Linked DNA regions of Drosophila melanogaster. The protein of the gene in region 1 interacts with the protein of each later gene in a pairwise test. Each region holds a gene or a part of one and is shown in the gene's direction. Other genes may lie near its edges. The genes, in order: CG13310, Ugt35E1 and CG6340.

Region 1 (4,302 bases):
CCGGGTTGGGGCCATATCTCTGTGATGATCTCGGGGCCATAACATTTATCTTTCAATGCCGTGGAATGCCATAAAACTGCTCTTCCCAGTAGCGCAATCTTCGAGTAGCACGGGAGCGCTACGGGGCAAACAGTATCATATATTCTAAGATCTTTAGCATACCTAATCTACGGCATAAAACGCTAAAGCTATCTTCTGTTTTCTAGAGACAGTTCTTATAAAAGCCCTATAGCTGTTGGATATCACAGTTAGTCCGTTAGTCACATTCAAAGTCAGCATAATGCAGCAATCCCAAATCCTAAGAAACCTAGTAAGACAATGTGCAATTTATTTTGAGAAAAAGTTTTAACAAATTTATAATTTTTAGTGCCTCATTGTGGTTGTAAGCTCGATGGCAGTTCTGGTCCAAGGAGTGTGCAACAGTTGCCAAGCCAACAATGTGAAATGCCTGAATGAAACGCACTATAGCTTTTGCTCCGATAATGTGGCGCCCAATCAGGTCCTTCAGTGTCCGGATAACAAGGTCTGCACCGACCTGGCAATCATCTGCATGGACAGCAGTGTAGTGGATAGCTCCTGCTCAGGCACTGCCGATGGATCCTGCCCCACCTGCGATGGAAACAGCATGTTCGTCTGCACCAGTCGCACCACCTTCCAGATGTGCGATGGCACCAACCTAACTGGCCAGGTCACCAAGTGCAAGGACAACAAGATCTGCTCGATTAAATCGGGCAAATACTGCGTGGATCTCTGCGAAGTGGGTGATTCCGTCGAATGCGATAGGGACAGTCCGCTATAGAACTTTTGAATTAATTTAAAATGCTTTCACTACCTCATGTCTAAACTATTAAATAAACCACGATTTTTGTAACTTATATAAATAGTTTGTTTCAATGATAAAAGAAGTTTCCCTATTAAAGTGAAACTTTGTAGATAACATTGATCATTAAGATTTTATTTGAATCTCATCTAGGGCATAAATGTTTTACAATTCCTAGATTTACCAAATGGTGAACGTACGAATCATGCACAAAGCAATCCACATTTAATTTCGCTCTTCCATTAATTTTCTATCTGTCCTTTTTGTTATATAACTAACATAATTTATTGTTAGTAGACAAGTCAGCAGACGAAAAAGAATTTCTTAAGAATTCCAGCAATAAAACACTTTTTATCACTGTTAAGCTAAAAGCTTATCATTGTTTTGGTCATCTCATGTTGTCAGGGCCAAAAGCATCGCAAATTCTATTGCGAAGGTCAGTTCTTTCGCCATAAAGAAGTGAAAACAAATTTGGAGGTATCTCTATTTACTTTAAGTATGTTTTAATTAAATTAAGCAATTTAATTGACATTGACCCAATTGAGCGAGAGTGCTGCGTAATCAAATTAGACATATGAAGCAATGACGTCAAAATGGTGCAAAGCTGTTACGTACCAAAAACATTTTTTTGTGATGACTGTGATGCCGTAAACAAATTGTTCGGCACTTTCATGCTCCGATATTTGGCCTACGGGTGGTGTTGCTCCACATTTAATGGGCGCCCAAAGGTGTGGAAAACAAATTCGCAACAGGAAACAAACAGTGAAAAGCGAGAGCACAGAGATGGGACCACCTCCCATCGAAGCCATTCAAACCAACCAAGAGCAGCCAAAACATCCGAAAAGGCCCCCTGGCACTTCGTTGATTGTGGCGCATCTAATTGTTGTGACGGTTGCGTTTTGTTATTGTAATTAATATTTAGCTAAACTCAGCTGCGTTTGGGCTTACTAAAACTAAAAAGCGAAAAGCGTTGAACAAATTGCGGTCATTAAACTTTTTGCCGCGCCGAGTGAAATAAATTGTCGCCCCCGCGGTTGCTGCCTTTCATAACAAAGTCACAAATCAACGCGAGCGGATCTGCCCAACAACTACCGATCTCCCAGTGGATTATTTACCATGTTGCATCTGCAACTGACTCTGCTCTCCTGCCTCTTGGTCCTGGCCAACTGTAAAATCCAGAAACAGATTCCGACAAACAGTTGGCGGGATATGCTTTTCGGCAGCAAGTGGCTAACTCCTGCACCACGTTGGCGCGAATCCAAATGTGGGTCTTAAAGCTGGCTAAGACCAGCAGTTAGTGTTAACAAAAGAAAAAAATTGAATTGAATTCTGTGTAACATCCACCAGTTTTGCCCATTTTCGCCCTGGTGCCCATCGGTCCTGGCAGCTGTTCAGCGCCCTCCGGCGAACAGGGAAATTGCATTCCCAGCAAGGATTGTGTACTGCGGAACGGCATCCCGGCCGGTCCTTGTGGCGGTGGCTATGGCGTCTGCTGCATCTGTGAGTTTCCCACCCATGTGAAAGCAATCGCCTATTCTTAATACCTTCGTTCAGTTCTACAGACGTGCGGCGGTATTATACGAGAGAACTCCACTTACTTTGTGAATCCCAATCACCCGGATGTCTACGATGGCACTGGTAGTTGTCAGGTAACCGTTCAAAAACTGCATCCGGACATCTGTCAGCTGCGCTTGGATTTGGATATGTTCTCGATAGCTCCTCCAGAGGCAGCCAATCATCTGTGCAATCAGGATCAGTTGCTCATATCGGGCGGTAGTCCCACGCCCACCATTTGTGGCAGTTCAACGGGAGATCACAGTGAGTGTTTGGCATGCTTTTACAAAAACATAAATTCTAGAAAATTTTAAAGGATTTCTAAGAGACTAACCACCGATTAAGTATGCTGAATTAGATGATAAGCCATCAAAACGAGTGTGTAAATATTTAATCTAAAGCGCACACTTTTAGATTAGCCCTGTAAACAAAACCGTCTTCTCAATGCCAACCTTTTGTTTTCGCAGTGTACATTGACGCGGGTCTTGGCCAGAGCAATCCGATTGTTTTGTCGGTGATCACCAGCGGAAGTTTTCCGCGTCTGTGGCGAATCCGCGTCACCCAAATCCACTGTGGTAGCATCAGTCGAGCGGACCAAGGCTGTCTGCAGTACTATACGGCAATTAGTGGTCGTGTGCGCAGCTTTAATTACAACACGGTGGGTGGAAGACAACTGTCCAATCAGGACTACAGCATCTGCATACGGAACGAGCGCAACTTTTGCGGCATTCAGTACAACGCATGTCCGGATCTGGAGAACAACAGATCCAGATCGTTCACACTCACTGGGAACTCCAACAATCCGGTGGCCACGATGGTGGGTGGTGGTGGTGGCATGCCACCAAACTTGAACGGTTGCACAAGCGATTGGCTACTGATTGGTTGCATTCGATCGGCGGACAGGATTCCTCCTCTGCCTGGTTGCGAGGATCGCGTCTGTGGAGGCACCTTTAGTGCGGAGGCCGGAATGCTCGCCAAAACAGTGCAATGTACGTACAAGCTTAGGTCATCAAATCGAATCCTATCATTAAAAGATTATTAATAATATATTTTCTTCAATATATCCCCACAGCAAGTGTTCGTCCTTTCCGGCTTTATTTCCACACGGACGGAGTAGAAGCGCCGAATGATATAGACAACCGAGGATTTTGCCTTGATTATGTTCAGCAACCATGCACAAATGGCTTTTAGACACCAGCCCACAAGTATGCAATACTCTAAACACAAAATCCACATGACGAATTCCACGCGACTAAAATCGCAAGGAAATTATGATTGGCGCTGCAAAAGTCGCAGGAAAAACGCACACATCTTTCGTATGTAATAAATATGTTTTATTTATTGATTTTCGTAATTAAGTTAGACGTAACATTAAAATTTAAGTTAATTTAGAAAATCGTGTCGGGTTTTGGTACAAATTTAGTGTTGTCGTAAAGGATATCGAAATTTCATGTGATCCAAATTCTAACATTAAAATCGTTTTCAACTACTAATACAGGTTTATTGAATTACGTTTAATTAATAATACTTAGCAGAAGCAAAACAAAAATTATATAACAGAAAAACACGATGATAAACGCTTTTGTTTAAGGACATTTTCGTTGCAGCGTTGTTGCCGTTGTTGGTACTCATTTTTTTTGCCGTGACAAAAAAGAAAATAATAAAAACCAGTACTAACTATGCGCACGTTGTCGTATAAAAGGGTAATTTCTGGGTTCGCTTGCTCGCCTGAGATCGCCAATTTCAGTCTGTGCGCGTAGTGCCCGACTTGTGACGTCACTGGGGGATGGTATTATCTCGGATGTGATGCGGGTATCTACGATATATGTCTGTCCTAATCCTAATAGGTTTGTATCAAGGCAGCCACGTGCTGTTTCTCCTCCTCGGTCAGACCGTTTTTCAGCGTGCGACGTACTGCAAAATATATT
Region 2 (3,964 bases), on another chromosome or scaffold:
CACGCCCTACCTTATCTAAAGAAATTGGCATCTTTGGGCCATGAGATAACTTCTGTAAGCCCATTTCCATTGAAAGAACCTGTGGCTAATATACATGATATTCCAGTTCCGGAATTATTTGACAATATAGAGGGTAAGTAATACTTAAGAGTTACTTAAAATATACCTATGCGAAAATGTATTTAAAACATCCTTTCAGAAATTGTTGGAAATCTAACAAACCGGAAGGGCACATGGAATGAATTTGAATACATCAACCAGTATACCCTTGGTCTTGTCGAAAAAGTGCTTGAAAATGATGGAGTGCGTCGAGAGATTCTGCAACCAGAAAGTCTTCAGTTTGATCTGATCATTGTCGATCTTTGGCGGCTTGATGCTCTATACGGCTTGGCGGCCTATTTTGATGCCCCCATCATTGGAATTGCATCTTATGGAACCGACTGGAAGATTGATGAACTAGTGGGCAATGTATCACCTTTAGCATACCTGCAGTCTCCGTCTTTCAACTGGTTTGATCTCGACACCTATGGAGGACGTCTGGGTCACTTTGTGGATCAGTCCATGGCTTGGATTAACTGGCATTGGCGGCACGAGGAAAGGCATGAGGCGGTCTACAGAAAGTACTTCCCAAAAATTGCCGATAAACGTTCGCTGTCCGAGATCACCAGAAATTTCGCCTTGATTTTGGTTAACCAACACTTTACGATGGCACCACCACGTCCGTATGTTCCCAATATTATTGAAGTCGGTGGTATGCATGTCGATCAACAACCTAAAGCTTTACCCCAGGACCTGGAGGACTTTATCCAAGGGGCTGGTGAACATGGAGTAATTTACTTTTCGCTCGGCACCAATGTAAGAAGTAGAAATTTGTCTAAGGATCGCAGGAAAATATTGATTGACACATTTGCCAGCCTGCCACAGCGCATCTTGTGGAAATTCGATGCTGATGAGTTGTCAGATGTACCCTCAAATGTTCTAATTAGCCCGTGGTTTCCGCAGCAGGACATCCTTGCTCATCCAAACGTAAAGCTGTTTATTACTCATGGAGGCTTACAGAGCACAGTCGAATGTATCCATCGTGGTGTACCGATGCTGGGATTGCCGTTCTTCTACGATCAGTTCAGAAATATGGAACACATCAAAGCGCAGGGCATAGGTTTAGTTTTAAACTATAGGGATATGACAAGCGATGAATTTAAGGACACCATTCATCAGTTGCTGACAGAGAAGAGTTTTGGTGTCAAGGCAAAAAGAACAGCGGACAGGTATCGGGATCAGCCAATGAATCCTTTGGATACGGCGATCTGGTGGACTCACTACGTCCTGCGTCACAAGGGAGCACCTCATATGCGGGTAGCGGGCAGAAATCTGGATTTTATAACTTACCACAGCTTGGATGTTTTGGGAACTTTTCTCCTGGCCGTTTGGGCGATCCTTAGTATTGTTGTCCTTTGTGCAATTAAACTGTTAAGGGCTATCTTAAAGAGTAAAAAGGGTAATATATCACCCAAGCAAAAAATAAATTAACTTACAAATATATCAATAGAGAATACATATCTGTGTACATTCGTAGAAAGGTAGATGTATGATTTATGACATATAGATTAGGAAGATGTAAGCATGTTGTTAGTTAATGCTAAAATATATTATACTTCCTAACACTCTTATCGGGTTAATCTTATCAATATTTATTTTAAAATGGTTTGTGGCTGAAATTCACTTAGTCTTCGTTGAAATCTTGATAAAAGCAAAGTTGCGTTCTAAAAATGTTGGCATCGGGCTTGTTTTACCTTATAATTTTACTATTTCCTGGTTTCTTGTATGGAGCTCGAATTTTGGCTTTGTTTCCGGTTCCCTCCCATTCGCACTATTATCATGCCCTTCCATATCTCAAAAACTTGGCCTCTTTGGGTCACGAAATAACTTCAGTAAGTCCATTTCCATCTGAAGAACCAGTGAAAAATATATACGACATTTATGTTCCGGAAGTGTTAAATAGTTTTGACGGTAAGTAAGGCAATATATATTTTATATACAATCAGATTTTTGCATCTATACGTTTATATTCTTATTAGAACTATTGAAACAAATGACAACCCCGAAAAACACGTGGGAGTTCTTCGACGCAACCAATGAATTTGTGTATAATATTACTAAAGATGTATTTAATAACGACGGAGTGCGACGAGAGATACTCAGGCCGGGAAAGGCTCAGTTTGATCTGATTATTGTGGACATATGGAAGTACGATGCTTTTTATAGCCTTGCCGCCTATTTTGAGGCTCCAATTATCGGATTAGCTCCCTGTGGAATCGATTGGAAAATAGACGAAATGGTTGGTAATCCATCGCCGATGTCCTATCTTCAGTCGCCCTCATCTTACCTTTACAACCTGGATACTTTTGGGGGTCGCGTGGCACACGTTGTGGAAGTCGCCATTTCTTGGTTCAACTGGCACTGGCGTTATGAGCAAAAGCATGAGGCACTTTACAAAAAGTATTTCCCAAAAATAGCTGAAACAAAGCCACTGTCTGAAATTAGCCAAGACATTGCTTTAGTTTTGGTAAATCAACATTTCACATTGGGTCCACCACGTCCGTATGTTCCGAATGTAATCGAAGTTGGTGGTATGCATATTGATGAACAACCTAAAGCTTTAGCCCAGGATCTGGAGGACTTTATCCAAGGTTCTGGTGAGCATGGTGTAATTTACTTTTCTCTGGGCACCAATGTAAGGACGAAAAATATGGTAGATGACCGCAAGAGAATATTGATAGAAGCCTTTGGCAGCCTGCCACAACGCGTCTTGTGGAAATTCGAGGATGAAGAGCTGCAGGATATACCGTCGAATGTTCTAGTACGCAAATGGTTACCGCAACAGGACCTACTGGCCCACCCAAAAGTGAAACTCTTTATAACCCACGGAGGTATGCAGAGCACCATTGAGAGCATTCACTATGGTAAGCCCATGCTGGGATTGCCCTTCTTCTACGACCAATTTACCAATGTGGATCACATCAAAAAACATGGCTTTTGCCTGTCTTTGAACTATCATGATATGACAAGTGATGAGTTGAAGGCCACAATACTCCAGTTGCTGACGGAGAAGAGATTTGAGGTCACGGCAAGGATAGCAGGTGCTCGCTATCGAGATCAACCAATGAAGCCTTTGGAGACAGCTGTCTGGTGGACTCACTACGTCCTGCGTCACAAGGGAGCACCTCATATGCGGGTGGCCGGGAGAAAATTGAGCTTCTTCACCCACCACAGTCTGGATGTCTTGGGCACTGTTCTTCTTGTTATTTTGCTTGTTATCATTGCCATTCTTCTTATTATTGTTTTTAGTGTTTGTAAGATTTCTAAGAATATCTCAACGCGTTTAGTTGTTAAAAAACAACGAAAGCAGAAAGTTCGTTAGAAATACTTACAATAAATATTTGCACAATAAATAAATAATTTCTTACAATAAATATTTGCACAATAAATAAATAATTTCAGACAAATAGATAGATAATTTGCTTTTATTGCTAAGGTGGCATTTTCCCAATGGCTAAAAGGAGTTTGAATTCTGCTTACCTCTTCTATAATATCGTTACCATAGTTTATAGCTACTAACCCCCGCGATAATGGCCATCGTATGACCGAACGAGGCTCGAGGAAACACCGCGATTCCCAGTTTGTTTTCACCACAGATAGAGCACCAAAATGATGGGATATTATGTATGATGCGCGTATTTATATTATAACGATGCTTTTCTGGTCACACGCAAAGCTGCTCGATTGGCGTCCAGTGAATTATGGAATACGCATTCAAATATTTGCATGTGTGTGGGCTGGGCGTGAACGACGGTTTGAGCGCATTTATTAACCGCTGCCAATCAGTTGCATACGCTGCGTATGCGTAATATTAAATTGCACGGAGTCACTTCCGTTGGATTGGTTTGGTTCATTTGGGTACGGC
Region 3 (6,506 bases), on another chromosome or scaffold:
TCTGGAGAGGAAGGACCACGTCCAGGACGTTTTGATGGAGGCGAAGAGTCGGGCGGACGCAAGCCAAATCGTGGTCTAAAGGTTGCAAGTAAGGACCGCCATTTTTATAAATTTCTAAATTTAATTAGGTTGGGTTATTGCACTTTTAGTATCGACAGCTTGTAGTATCAATGCCAAAACATTATTTGCATTTCCCACAGATTCATGCATTCTAGAAAGCTTTTTTTGAATTTTGTAAACGCTTAGATCAGTAGTATTTAGCATTTGAGACATTTAAGACTTATGTACACTTATATTCACTTTATTCGCAACACAGAGCGTCGCTTTAATAACAAAATGGAGTCGGAGCGCCAAGATAGTGACTCTGATGGGCGTTTTTGCTAGAGGATCGGATGGAAAGAAAGATGATCTCAAAAAACTGGAAGATCTCGCCTTGAATAAAAAAAAACTTCCCACCGCTACCCGGGACATCGAACAAGTACAGGAATTTGGAAATTTGAAAAATCTCAGAGGAACAGGACAACTTGAAGCAGAAATTTTGAAAACATCTATTTGTGGCCTAAATATAAGAGCCTTTTTTTTTTTGTATACCTTTGGAGACATATCTATTAACAGAAGACAGAATTGCATTTACACACATATGTATCTACATATTGTTGACAGAAAAAATAATTGCATTTGCACAGATACGAGAATTGTTTGCTAACAGAAAAAACAATTTCATTTACACACAAATCTATTGGTAACAGAAAAAAAAAATTGGTAACACAAATACGAGAATCTATTGGTAACAGAAAACGAAATTGCATTTACGCACGTATGCGAATCTATTGTTAACAGAAAACAGAATTACATTAACCATTTCATAAACACACCTGATAAAACCACCGAACATGCATCAAAATGCTTGACTCGTGTAAATATCGAATTTGTGTGCCATAAAGTAATCAGTTTCGTGATCAATTTCGTGATTACAATTTTGTGATAGCTAGTAATTAATCCATTCCCATACAATTTTAGGGACTAAAGCAAAACACAATTATATTTACATTTTTTATGCAAACAACTGATGATAATAAAATCTTTACTAAAAAAATAAAACAACTTTCAACCTTTTTGAATGTGAACAATTGTACGAATCTAAAAAAAGGGAAGCATAAGCTGATCTTCTTAATAACGTTGGTATTCAACGCTATTGCGAGGCTGCAGCAATACTTTCCTTCTCAGTGGAAGCTCTGGATGAGTTCCATGATCCATAAACCTGGCAAACCGAAACAAAAGGGAGCCCGCTTCCAACAGGCCGATCAGCTTTCTCCTTTCGATCTCAAAGGTGTTTGACAGACTAATTGCTGCCCAGATAGTCAGGATAACGGAATCGAAAAGGATTACTCCTTACAGTACCGTTTAGCAACTCCATGCCGTGTACAGTATCCGCCCATCAATGAGGCTTAATTGAAGCCAACCGAGGTACCTCATTCTTCGATCTCCTTTAAGGCGGGTACGAATGGTCCGAATTAATATGCCTTTCTATATATGCCTTTACTATATGAGTAATTAAGCTTAAAAAGCTAGTTTAAAAACACGCGCTTTAGTGTATTTGAAATGTGTTTTACCTATTTTCGTTTCGTTTTTCAAAACATCGGCTTTTCAAATATACCGTTATTTATCAACGGATAGTTAGGAAATTCTATCGATACTTCGAAGCGCGCTGGCCACACTTTTCATCTCTATCAATAGTTCCACCACTACTTTCTTTTTTAGCAATTGATTCGTTTTTTTTTTGGACGCACCTGCGTGCTTCAGCCACATTTTTGGCCTAAAACAATTTTTGGCCCCAAACAATGGAGGCCCTAGTGAATTATAGTAGTGAGGACGACCAGGAGGATGCTGGCTTTCAGATACGGGTAAATATGCCTACACCGCAAGGCCGGAAGCAGCTGAAAAAAGAAAGAATCATCAGAGCGCATTTTGTGTACACATACATCTTCATCACTTTTTTCTTCCTTGCGTATATGGGAACCGCGTGTGTGTCGTGTTTGTGTTGTGTGTGTGCGAATGCGCGGAAACGCAAAATAAAGAACTGATCCCATCAATTCAAAAAACATAAAAAAACGAGGAAAATTCAAAACCACTAACCACTCCAATAATACATTTCAAGTATGCTTTGGTAAAATAATGCCAATTTGCTGTTTCTTAAAAGTTGCAAAATTCCCTTGGCACCACAACAACTGCAGCATTTGCCGCATGCTAAATCCTCGAGAACAACAACAACTGCTAACTTACTAGAGCAGAACAACAATAACTATGTTAGCGGCAACAGTCCGCGCGGCAAGGAAAGAGATTGCCGTATTTGAGAACCGTGTGTGTGTGTGTGTGCTTGTGTGTGTGTACGAATGCGCGGAAACGCGAAATAAAGATAACTGATCCCATCAATTAAAAAAAACATAAAAAAAACGAGCAAAAATCAAAACCACTAACCACTCCAATAATATAGTTCAAGTATCCTAGTGCTTTAGTAAAATAATGCGAATTTGCTGTTTCTTAAAAGTTGCAAAATTCCCCTAGGCACCACAACAACAACAACAACTGCGGCATTTGCCGCATGCTAAATCCCCGAAAACAACAACTGATAGCTTATTAAAGCAGAAGAACAACAATAACTATGGCAGCGGCAACAGTCCGCGCGGCAAGGAACGAGAAAGAGAGCGCGAGCGGGAGAGAGAGAAGACAAAGCCGATGTCGCAGCAGCAGAGTCATAGGAGCAGCAGCAGAGGACGCATTGATGAGGTAAAGACTTGCCGTTGCACCAAATCGATATTTACTTCCCATAATATATACCAAATACCATATGCTATTGTACTCCATACGTATGTGTGTGTGTGTGTATCTGGGTTGGAGCGCAAGCGGATCTTTCATGTGCCGTTTCCTTCCGCTGCCGCAAAGGGCGACGCCATCGCCGACTGCGCTGCCAGCAGCAGCACTTACAGAGGCAGGCAAAATAATAGCACAGAGTCCGCTTTAAATCAAACGTCTAATGTATAGATATCAATCAAATCGAAACCGAGATCTTTTAAACTTTTGAGTTAAAGTTAATCCCAGTTGTATACATTGGCCAATTCACTTCAAATAAAAAAGAGAAAATGCCACGTAATGAATGAAAAGTACTTGTGCCAAAAAAACAGGACACTGCATCAAATCAATAATGCAGCCTAGTTTTCAGTGCCTCCATTCCTTTACGCCAGCAAAAGTAATAATTCTATACATAGGCAAGGTCATTGGCAGCAGTACTTCATTGTTAAAACTAAATTAATGGAATGTTAAAACACAATAATGCATGCAGTCCATTCCCCACTGGTTCTATAGTTTATATTGCAATTAAAGAAAAGAACAGATTCACAATCTTTTCTTGTAGTCTTGTAGTTCAGCTTTACTTCGGTTATCATTGATTAATACTTCCATTAGTTACAGATATAAATCGCAGATCTTGTTAGATTCTGCATCTTTAGGGGCTTCAGGCATTTTCTTGTGCTATTATTTAGTCATCTGCTGTTCCCAACTGAAAAATTCAATATTCATATATTTATGTATATTGATCTCCACGATCGACTGCATGCGCTCCAACCCGTTACATCCAAATTTCGCTACTGCCAGATTTATATGGGCCAAAAACTCAAAATTAAATCCAAAGACAGAAAATTCTGTTTGTTCGGTCCGCTTGCGATTTACACACACATTGTTGTTGTTGTTGTTCGGCCAGCTTAGTTAAGTCTACAAACTTTATATGCCAATCAATATTTAAATGACTAAACTCTACCATTTTATTATCATTGTTATTGTTGTTACGTAAACGAAACCGAATCGAACCAAAACGAAAAACCATTTTCCAAACAAACAAGTCAAAAACAAAAAACGAAAACAAACCTGACCGACGATAATTGACGATAGCCCGATCGTAGTAATCGCTCGATTACCAATAGCTTCTTCGATAGTGCGACAATCGATCAAATTTGTTATGACCACCACTGTGTGTGTAGTCCTGTGTGCGACTCTGTGGCTGTGTTGGTGGGTGTGTGTGAGCCACTGAAAAAGGTAAAAGCAAATAGAACGATCACACTCACCACACACATGCCCGCCCGCACACACACACACACACACAACCACCCACCCATCCACCCACTCACTCACTCACTGGTGGCGCGAAAGCGAGAGAGAGAGAGAGAGAGAGAGATAATGCGAAAGAGAGATCAAGGCGCACGAAAGTGAGTATACAAAAAGCGATCAAATAGAACCTAACAACTCTCTAAGCAATCTAGGACACCCCGGAAAGGACCCCAGCTGGTGGCCCACAGCCCGAATCCTCTTTCTATTTCCCCTCCAGCATCCTAAGCATCTAGCAACTAGACCTAGATCCTTAGTCGCCGGCGCAGATTCGTAGATCCATACGCTCTAATGTAATTCTCCTCAATGTGTTGCTTCATCCCGTTCCAGGAGCCGAAGCCCAGCAGTCGCCACCGCCAGGAGCGGGACAAGGACAGGGAACGGGACCGCGACCGCGAACGTGACAGGGACAAGGACAAGAAGCGCAGCGATTCAGAACGCAGTCGCGACAAAGGACGCGACAAGAATCACAGCAAGGTGAGACAGAGTCCTAATCAACTCAGCATAACTCAGCCAAACTAATGTCTGTGCTATTTACAGGGCGACCATCGCCACCATCGTACCAAAGACGGCGACAGCCACAGAGAGCGGGAGCGGGATCGTGACCGGGAGAGGGAGCGAGATCGCGACAAGGATCGGGACCGTAGGCGTTCGGAGAAGAGCAGTCGCCACCACAGTGGCAAGGAACGCCATCATCATCATCACAACAACTCATCGTCAGCCGCCGCTGCAGCGGTCAGTGCAGCATCAGTCCGTCGATCCCATGATGAACGCAGTCGTCGTCGCCGGGACTCTCGATCCGGTTCCCGCACACCAACGGGCACGCCGCCCTCTCGTCGCCGCCATCAGTCGCAACAGTCACGCAAATATCGCGAACGCGACTCCAGCAGCCGCTCCAGATCTCCGAAGGAAGAACAAGCCACAACACTTCGCGGTGGAGCTGTGGCCGGATCTCATATGCTGCTCGCTAAATCAGGCGGCGGAGCAGGATCAACGGCAACTAATGCAACAGCAGCGGCGAGGGTTGCAGCGGCCGCTCTGGTAGCTGCCAATGCAACAGCCGCAGCCATGGCAGCCGGTTCATCCGGCGGCGGTGGCGGCGGTCTCCTGCCCACGCCCAACTATGCGCCCAAGATACCCTCGCTGATGTCCTTGGAGCTGAGCACACCAGCGGCAGCAGCACCAGTCGCAGAACCCATCCAGCTGCCCAGTTACTACAATCCGAGCATCATCAATGCCAATCGCTATGCGGAGCAGCAGCAGAAGCGCAAGCTACTGTGGGGCTCCAAGAAGAGCGAGAACTCGGCGAACAAGTGGGGCAACGCGCACTTCTCCCAGGACTCCGACGGCAAGGTGGCCTCCAAGTTTATGCGGCTCATGGGTATCAAGAACGCTGGTACGTCCGGCAATGACGATGGCAAGGGCGGCCAGGCGGAGTCCACCAATGGAAGTGCAGCAGGCGAGGGAAACCGCGCAGTAAGAGGTGCTGCGCCATCGGGAGCCGCTGGCGGAACGAAAGTGCCCACGGACGTGCAGCAGCGCCAGCGCATGTTCTCCAACATGGAGCAGCAGTACGAGATGGCGCGAGCCGCCACACACACGATGCGTGGCGTGGGGCTTGGTTTCGGCTCCCAGCCACGTACTTTCTAGAAGGGATCGGAACGGAGGAGGATCGGCTCCCTGCCAGGCTGTAAATACCATGCCACTCACTCAACTCATTAGTCAGTCAATATGTTTCTCCTCAACAACTTTTTGTTTGTGTTGAGAAAATTTTTTGTTTTTTTGATTTCAAATAAACGTTGCAACAGAATTTATGAAGTGACGTGGCTCTCTCTTTGGATTTGCTTGGGATAAATGCGTCGTTAGGTAGACTTTTAGTCTACACTATTACTAAGTATGCTAAGAGTATCCAACTTTAACTACAAAGTTCAGCGGCTCTAATCGAAGAATGCTTGAATATTCAATAATAAATAAAGGTATTTTTTTTTACAATAAACAATTTTAAATTTTGGCACTCTGTTTAGTAGATGTCAGTTTTTTGCCATGCACCTTGGCGGTCGGTCTGCCTATCGCCAATCGATAGCTGACCAAAAACAATAACAATAACAAAATCAGCTGACGATAGGACGTCGGATATCGATACCATATCACAAACTAATAATAAAAATAATAATAAATAAGAGAATTAATACTACTAGAACACAAACAAAAGCATATAAAGCTTACACATCCTTTATTAAAACAAACAGCCAAATTGGATTTAAATTGTGGAACGAAGCAAACAGAACCGCTTGAGTTTGTGCCACTGCCACGCAAAAAAAATTATCGTTTCCAAAAAACTAAGCATA

The links.
Region 2: the proteins of CG13310 (region 1) and Ugt35E1 interact in a two-hybrid assay, tested with the Drosophila melanogaster proteins (one large-scale study listed by BioGRID).
Region 3: the proteins of CG13310 (region 1) and CG6340 interact in a two-hybrid assay, tested with the Drosophila melanogaster proteins (one large-scale study listed by BioGRID).

The regions. Positions count from the first base shown.
Region 1 is NT_037436.4:8,798,107-8,802,408, reverse strand, and holds CG13310 (uncharacterized protein), read left to right. Parts: upstream 1-1,876; 5' UTR 1,877-1,936; coding exon 1,937-2,084; intron 2,085-2,167; coding exon 2,168-2,320; intron 2,321-2,374; coding exon 2,375-2,638; intron 2,639-2,841; coding exon 2,842-3,363; intron 3,364-3,446; coding exon 3,447-3,565; 3' UTR 3,566-3,679; downstream 3,680-4,302. Other genes in the region: CG13311 (uncharacterized protein), read left to right, coding at 281-310, 368-799; Fhos (formin homology 2 domain containing), read right to left, coding at 4,215-4,288.
Region 2 is NT_033777.3:11,163,880-11,167,843, reverse strand, and holds Ugt35E1 (UDP-glycosyltransferase family 35 member E1), read left to right. Parts: upstream 1-1,769; coding exon 1,770-2,010; intron 2,011-2,078; coding exon 2,079-3,421; downstream 3,422-3,964. Other genes in the region: Ugt35E2 (UDP-glycosyltransferase family 35 member E2), read left to right, coding at 1-133, 200-1,530.
Region 3 is NC_004354.4:15,480,634-15,487,139, forward strand, and holds CG6340 (uncharacterized protein), read left to right. Parts: upstream 1-1,740; 5' UTR 1,741-1,841; coding exon 1,842-1,904; intron 1,905-2,548; coding exon of another isoform or gene 2,549-2,565; coding exon 2,566-2,787; coding exon of another isoform or gene 2,788-3,042; exon of another isoform or gene 3,043-3,747; intron 3,748-3,896; coding exon of another isoform or gene 3,897-3,935; exon of another isoform or gene 3,936-4,259; intron 4,260-4,488; coding exon 4,489-4,635; intron 4,636-4,698; coding exon 4,699-5,808; 3' UTR 5,809-5,979; downstream 5,980-6,506. Other genes in the region: CG6324 (uncharacterized protein), read left to right, coding at 1-88, 317-384.